Linked DNA regions of Nothobranchius furzeri. The protein of the gene in region 1 purifies or fractionates together with the protein of each later gene. This does not show direct contact. Links are inferred from orthologs where the notes say so. Each region holds a gene or a part of one and is shown in the gene's direction. Other genes may lie near its edges.

What was found. Proteins that work in one complex are often made in the same cells at the same time.
Region 2: the proteins of cluap1 (region 1) and ift27 purify together in Homo sapiens (affinity purification with mass spectrometry; 3 studies listed by BioGRID and IntAct, with this or other methods). This does not show direct contact. The link is inferred for Nothobranchius furzeri from reciprocal best matches to the Homo sapiens genes CLUAP1 and IFT27.

Annotation. Positions count from the first base shown.
Region 1 is NC_091748.1:64,772,048-64,775,288, reverse strand, and holds part of cluap1 (clusterin-associated protein 1 homolog), read left to right. Parts: intron 1-2,461; coding exon 2,462-2,603; intron 2,604-2,838; coding exon 2,839-2,911; intron 2,912-2,992; coding exon 2,993-3,103; intron 3,104-3,241. UniProt on the Homo sapiens protein: Required for cilia biogenesis. Appears to function within the multiple intraflagellar transport complex B (IFT-B). Key regulator of hedgehog signaling.
Region 2 is NC_091746.1:76,148,429-76,152,476, reverse strand, and holds the start of ift27 (intraflagellar transport protein 27 homolog), read left to right. Parts: upstream 1-1,243; 5' UTR 1,244-1,373; coding exon 1,374-1,407; intron 1,408-1,816; coding exon 1,817-1,896; intron 1,897-4,048. Other genes in the region: synaptogyrin-1, read right to left, coding at 273-374. UniProt on the Homo sapiens protein: Small GTPase-like component of the intraflagellar transport (IFT) complex B that promotes the exit of the BBSome complex from cilia via its interaction with ARL6. Not involved in entry of the BBSome complex into cilium. Prevents aggregation of GTP-free ARL6.

The DNA of each region.
Region 1 (3,241 bases):
GTCAGTTTTCACATTTAGATGTTTCAACCAACTTTTTAAAGGTTCATTTCACAGAAAAATATTTTTTTTAATTGTTATTTCTGATTATAATCAATCACTCAGATCAGAGTTTTTCATGCAGGCTGATAGTCTTCTACCCCATCTCCTCCATTAGCTTCTGAATTTCTGATCTCTTTGGAGGAAACTGTTTAACCCTCCCACTGTCATAATGGGTGTGACCTCAAGGGATACACTATCAATCCTGCTCAATAGTCAACTTTCCTCGCGCGGTGACCCATAAAGACAGTGGGAGGGTTAAACAGTGCTACCAAGATTTTCATTTTTATTTTTCTCAGAAATGGTTAGTCCCTTTAAAATTAATGTTGCTTTTTTTTGACACATTTTAAACTAAATCCAAGATTTCTGAGAACAGCTGACATTTAGGGAAACATCATGTAATAGTCTCACGTCAACATATCTCATAAATAGTTATTTGGAGCCAGATTTTAGATTAACTATACCTTTCTGTTCATAAATATGACATATTATAACTTTTGTTCTTAAATAAATGGTCTACACATGTCAAAAACATGTTTATGAAGTTATTTACTCCAAACCAGTTTCACTTACGTGTGTGGAACGCTGAATTTTTTTTAAAATTATTCCTGAATATAATCGGCCACTCAGTTTTTCCAGTAGGCTGAACATGAAAATAGTCTCCTACAGCTGTCTCCTGCGTTAGCGTCTGATAGAAAATAAGACGGTGAAATAGGGCTGCAACAAACGATTATTTGGATAATCGATTAATCGGATGGGGTCTCGACACGATTAATCGATTAATCGGATTACATAGGGACATTTTTAAAAACTGCTAGGGAAACGTTATTTTTCTCCTTCCTTCACTTTATTAAACACAGCATTATTAGAAAACAGTTCAATAGCAGAAAAACAACATGCCATCACCTAAATTGTCTTATAAGGTGTATAGACAGAGACCCTAAGCTACACCTATCTGTGACCTAAAATGCTTGGTCCAAGTTAAACAGCTTAAAGAGCAAGTCAACCCCTACCAGAGTCTAACTCCACTCCTGCTTTATGTTTGAAAAATGCAACACATGCTGTTGCCTGGCAGACCGAGAGGGCGGAGCCGCTAACAAATACACACACACTCCGGCTCACGACAGCATTGTGACATCATAATGTACCAGTTTACATCATATCATACTTCTTAGCCAATAGCGGTGGCAGATTTAAATTAAAATACAGTGCAGAGTTTTTACCTGACAACGGCACAACACTGCCAGTTTTAGGCAGAATATTTAAATTTGAACTAAGATGCACTGAAGTGCCAAATTATTGACGACACGTGTCTGCAGCACGATTAGACACTCGTTTATTTAGTTTATCAGCAAAAAAAAGTTTATTTGGGGGTGACTTGCTCTTTAATTACAATTTTATGGACTTTTTTTTTACGAGCTTAGGGCATGTCTAGCCTGTGTAATAATCCGGGGCTTGGATGAATCACTTTTGAAAAGTTTTTAACTTACCCGGACACCGAGCTCTCTCCTTCCTCGCTGATGATTCTGACATGCTTGCGTTTAAGACGCTGCATCATCACCGTAGTATCCCCGTGCCATGCTGTCTGACCTACAAACGTTGAATGTCTTCGCCTGATTTAACTGAAAATGCTCCCAAACTTTAGAAGTTTTTACTTTTTTGGAGTCTCGCTGCTTCTGCCATGTTCCTCTTACAAACACCTGCCGGCTCTCCACCGGTCTGCGCGCAACGGCGGGCGGGAGGGGAGGGGGCTTTTGGAAGAGTTGCGCAACACAACGAATCGATGACGCAATTCGTTGCCAACGCTTTTAGTAATCGATTTTCATCGAATTTATCGATTCGTTGTTGCAGCCCTACGGCGAAACTCTAGGATTTGAAAAGCCTGACAAACACAGTCAAAAAATCAGTGGTGGGAACCTCCCATTTATGGCTTCAACCTGCCTCCCACGGAACAATGGGCTGGCTACATCCATACTTTTACATGTCAATGCTTATGACAGGGAAGGCTGTTGTTGGTTTAGCATCCACGAAGCAGCAGAGAATGTCTCGACTAGTAGAAGCTAACCGTTAGCATTAGCAACTCCACCACACAGCAGAACTTATCCAAGCATGTGTTATTTGTGGAGATAAAATATCTACATTGCAAATCAAATGGAGTCTGTGGTAGAGTCGTGATGCTGTTAGCCAATCAGAGACAAGATGTCATAATATCAGGAAATAAGACTCTAAATCCTGCCGTCTCAAGCTACTTTCTGTTCCAGCTGAATTCTGTCTTCAAACAGGTGCACCGGAGCTCTTTTTCCCCAGAGAATTACTAACTTTTTCCACTAAGGACCACTAAAATGCATTCAAAATATGAGTAAAGTTGACCTTTAAACATAATCTTACTAGACATGCTTTTGATTTTCTCATCCTAATCCCTTAGGCCAGCATACATGGATGAATATGAGAAGATAGAAGAAGATCTGCAGAAACAGTATGAGATTTATGTGGAAAAGTTTAGGAACCTCAACTTCTTGGAATCTCAGCTGGATGAATTTTACAGACTGGAACAGGAACGATTTGAGGTGCGTGAAATAAACAAACACAACTAGGAACATATTGTTGTTCTGGAATTGTCTAAACCTTTCTTGTATTCACTCCCTAGTGTATCTATGGAAAATATCAGTAACAAACTACAACTATGTCTGCACAACCTGTCTCCATAAAATCAGATTCTTTCATAAATCACGATGAGATTATAAGAGATGGTCAATTGAAAGTCCTGTGGTAATAATGTTTTTTTACTTGTGTGTTGTGCAGGAAGCTGAAAACAATCTGAGGATAGTGCAGCACAAACTGAGGGAGAAGGAGAGAGATCTGATGAGAGGATCCTGTGAGAAAATCAAACACACACTAAATGCTTACTCAAACCCATTTGTCCAGTCCCAAAACTCTTGTCTTTTGTCTCTGGCAGTGAAAGATGAGGACTCTGACTTGGATGTTCTAGAGGACGAAGGGTCAGACAGCGACCTTGAAGAATCTCGACCCTCTAAGCCACGACTCATCAGAAATGGACTCATGGCAGGTACGCAAACAGGCTATGACTGTGGTAAGCCTGACATATCTGGCTTTTACTTAAGCCATCATAATCTAAGAGTGTAAACAGTGTGGAGGGACTGAAGCTGACCTTCTCACCCAAGATGGATCAGGCTGCAAAGATGTA
Region 2 (4,048 bases), on another chromosome or scaffold:
CGGTCTAATTCCTTATCTGTTCATTTAAACGTTAAGGTTGTTTACGATCAAACGGGCCTCACGTGGTGACTGCATCAACATCAGCTCAGCTCACAGAAACAAATAAGAATATCTATCTATAACGTGTGATACACAGTAATAGCAGTTTCTGGATCAACAAAAACATGAAGTGATTTCCAGACTTTGACACAGGCCTGTTTAATCCACAGAAAGCGATTCGACAACTCTAGCTGGTTTATTTATCTGTGTTGTTGCTTTGAGTGGTTTCTTACCCAAGACACTATGCGGAGAATGGTCTGAGGCTGCTGGAGGAAGGTGACAGGGTCGAAGGCTCCTCCAGCTTTCCCCGCTCCGTATGCCTGCATCCCCTCCATTGTCCTCCTCCTCTCTGGGCGGCCGCCTCTGAGATCCCCTTCTCCTTCCCCGCTTCAGCTTCAAAGGCACAGTGTGTGTGCGCGTGTGTGTGAGGGTATGTAGAGCACCGGATAACCGAAAGACGCACAAATCTCTGGTCCTACCACTCTGACCGCTGTCTCAGTGACTCTGCACCCAGGCTCCCTGACGCGCCACCTCTCCCCTTTTTTCTTGCTTGTAGTAAATTTAACCTCTGTGTCCCTCTGCACGGAGGTGCGCGGTGGTGTTTTGATGACGTTTCTCCCCTTCTGTAAGCTCCTAGAGCCCGTGGCAACCACGAGAACGCGCTTCCGCTCGGACAGTGCGTGTTTTATCTTTGGGAGCGCATCCTCGATAAAAACATCCAATACGCATGGCGCACGCGCCTGTGCTCACGGTGTCGCACAGAGGTAGTCACGTGCCTTAAATTGATTTAATCAAAGCGCGTCCCTGTTAGGAAGAAAAAAAATCAGAAAATTAAATTTTTTAAAACAATTACGACCCAGTTAAATAAAGAAGAAAATCTGAGTTTTTGCATTGAAAACGCTTCCAAATACTTTATTCTGAAACGTATGTTTTGTACCCTCTAGCGGTTATATCTCATAACGCTTGAAATTTTATTTATATTACGTTTTTACATACATGCAGTTTTTCAGTATTTACAAGTATGTGTCATGATTAGTGTTAAGAAAAACATTTAAAATGTCCTATTTACTTATCTCCGTCGGATCGAATGAGCCATGCCTGACAGATCTTGCTCGGGGGCGAAGTTCTCCAACATATCAAACAGCCAATGAAAGCGTTACGTATACACTGCGTACACCAATAAGACGCTACTTTAGATGGTTGCTAGGAAACGATTTGTGTCCGAGTTGCTGCGTTGAACAGTATTTAGAAGATTAGCAGTAAAAGTCAATATTATCCAGATTATTGAATTAAGTGCATATTTTACTCATCGCGTCACGAAGGCTTGCGCTGCAATGGGGAAATTGAGGGCAAGGTGTCTGCTTGTCGGTAAGGTTTCCTATGTTTGGCTAACGTTTGCTAGGCTAACGCTAACCAGTCGAGATTTAAGCTATCGGTTAGCTTCAAATGTAAAATAACAAAACACTCTCTAGTCTTTGATACTTAGCTAACCTCCATTTATATACGAGCCTTTTAGGGAATAATTTACCAGATTCAGTATTTCTCATTAGCGTTCAACAATGCAACACCAGACACATCACAACAAATCTTGTTTATCTTCAAGATGAAGCATAAATATATTGATAATATAAACTACAGCGCTTAAATAAATATAATGAGCAAGTTTTCATTTATTTAAACGAGTTCTTCCTTGATGTTTTTTTTTAAATGAGGAAACTGCAGATGCAAAAAGATCATAAACTTCTGTTTTCTACTGTTTTTATTCCTGTTCATGCAGGAGATGCAGCCGTGGGGAAAAGTTCTCTGTCCCATATATTCTACAGCGGTGGATCTCTCTTTCAGAAGAACTATAACATGGTGAGATGATCTGTTTTTAAAATATTGATGCTCAAACACTGCTGTCTAATCTAAAGCAGCTATTTAGTAAAAATAGTAACATGATGTTTATTTACTTGAAAGTATTTCTGCAGTTTTTGTGATGAATTTAGAAATTGCATTTTTCTTTTCCCCTATCACTTGTTTTATTCATGTCGATTCAATTAAGTCACTAGTTTAAAATATCAGAAATAATGTGATTTGTGTGTTATGAAACACAGCAGCATTCATTCCTTGTTATTAAATCATTGCTTAAGATAAAAGCTAGCACAATTTTCAAAGAATCGGAAACCCTCACATTTTCAGAGAAACCTTACAAGCTTTTTACAACTTGTTTGGATCTTTTGTACTAGGACTTACTGAAGTGCAAAACAGCATGATGTACCAACTAACACTGATGTGGAAAAGTAATCTGCATTATTTATGCCTATCTTCATGTGAGAATGAGTCGTGTCATTAACCTAACTCTGTCATGAATGGATGTCACTGCTGTTCATCGTTTCTTTCAGCCAATGTTCAAAGGGATTTAGGTTAAATGCGCACACATACACTGCAAATGCAGGTACTGGTGACTTGAATTATAGTTACGTATTTTGCATGCTTCACTTTACCACTAAGCCCTGTGAGTCATTAAAGTACTGAACAGAAAAATACCGGATTATAGCCATGTGTGTGTGTGTGTGTGTGTGTGTGTGTGTGTGTGTGTGTGTGTGTGTGTGTGTGTGTGTGTGTGTGTGTGTGTGTGTTTGCTCTGGTCTTGCTGCCTCAGCAGTATCAGGGTTCCGAGGTGACAGGGGTGTCGATAATTAATACAGCAGGATTCTGGAAAGTCACTAGAACAGCTACTTAACAAGCAAACACACAGAGCCCCAAACAACACAGTTTCTCAATACTGTACCTGTTTGTTTGTGATGTTGTGAAAAAGTTAATACAAAAGGAAAAGTATAACCAAATAAATAAATACAATTTGTGCAGGAAAAGCACATTTCCTGCATGTTTTAGATCATGAACACAGCTGAGCTTATTAATTTAGTGATGAACCTCTTTTGTAGACACTAAGGAAGGCTGGGGAGATGTTTCAGCTTTCAGATTAAGGTGTTTGTTTTTGGATGGACCCACAGTGAGGAGATAGGTTTTGCTTTCGGTTCTACAAACGGACACTAGAGAGTGCTAAAAGCACGCTTAAACGGCCTAATCTCCCGTTAGGTTTCACTGAGAAAAGTATGTAAGTTGTTTTTCATCAAATACGGTTGGTCACACTGAGTTGAATAAATGCATGCTGAACGTAAAAATAGTCTCCAGTCCCTATTTTCTACATTAGTCACTGAAAAAAAACAGACGTCAGTGCTTGGGTCAGAACAAGCCACACAGATCTAAGTCACACTGCAAAATTAGCATTTAAGGACTTATCAACCTTGGCTTGTGACCGCAGTCGGCTGTGTTGATAAAGCAGCCATAAGACCGCAGAGTGTGTACCGGCTAATAGAAACTATCCATTAGCAATAGCAATTCTGTTTGTATTGATGCACTTTTTTTCGCACACAATGACGAATATTGTCGAAGAAATCATATTTATGTCAAATTGAACTGCTAAAACATTGATTTACTTTCTTTCTTTAGTCTTCCTCATCCAACCCCATAAATCCCTGTGTGTCCTCCTCCTACAGCGCTCCCGAAGGACAACAGACATCAATAGCAACACAAAAAAAGTCTGGCGTGTTGTGTAAAAACTGTTATTTTTAGGATGCTTATAGGTACGACGTGTTGCTACCAGACGTACGGTGTGAGCACTCGAGTCACATCCGAGAACTGGGTCGTACAGTGTGAGCACATGACTCGTGAGATTTGCTCTTCGAGGAAGTCGTACAGTTTGAGCTGAAGCTGAACGCTACGAGTGAAACAGTCGCACAGTGTCCGCCCGGCTTTAGCCAGTCAGAGTCAAGTTGGCTGAATGTAATAAATATTAATGAGTAAGATTCCAACCCAAATCAGTCTGCTCAGCTGGGACATTGTTAAATTGACTAAACCATTTTGCAGTGGCTGGTGTTGTTTCATGTTATCAAGCCAATCTGCTGAGCTGCTGATTCACAGCTACAATTAGCACAGGAACCATAGGCTAGTTTGACTAATTAGT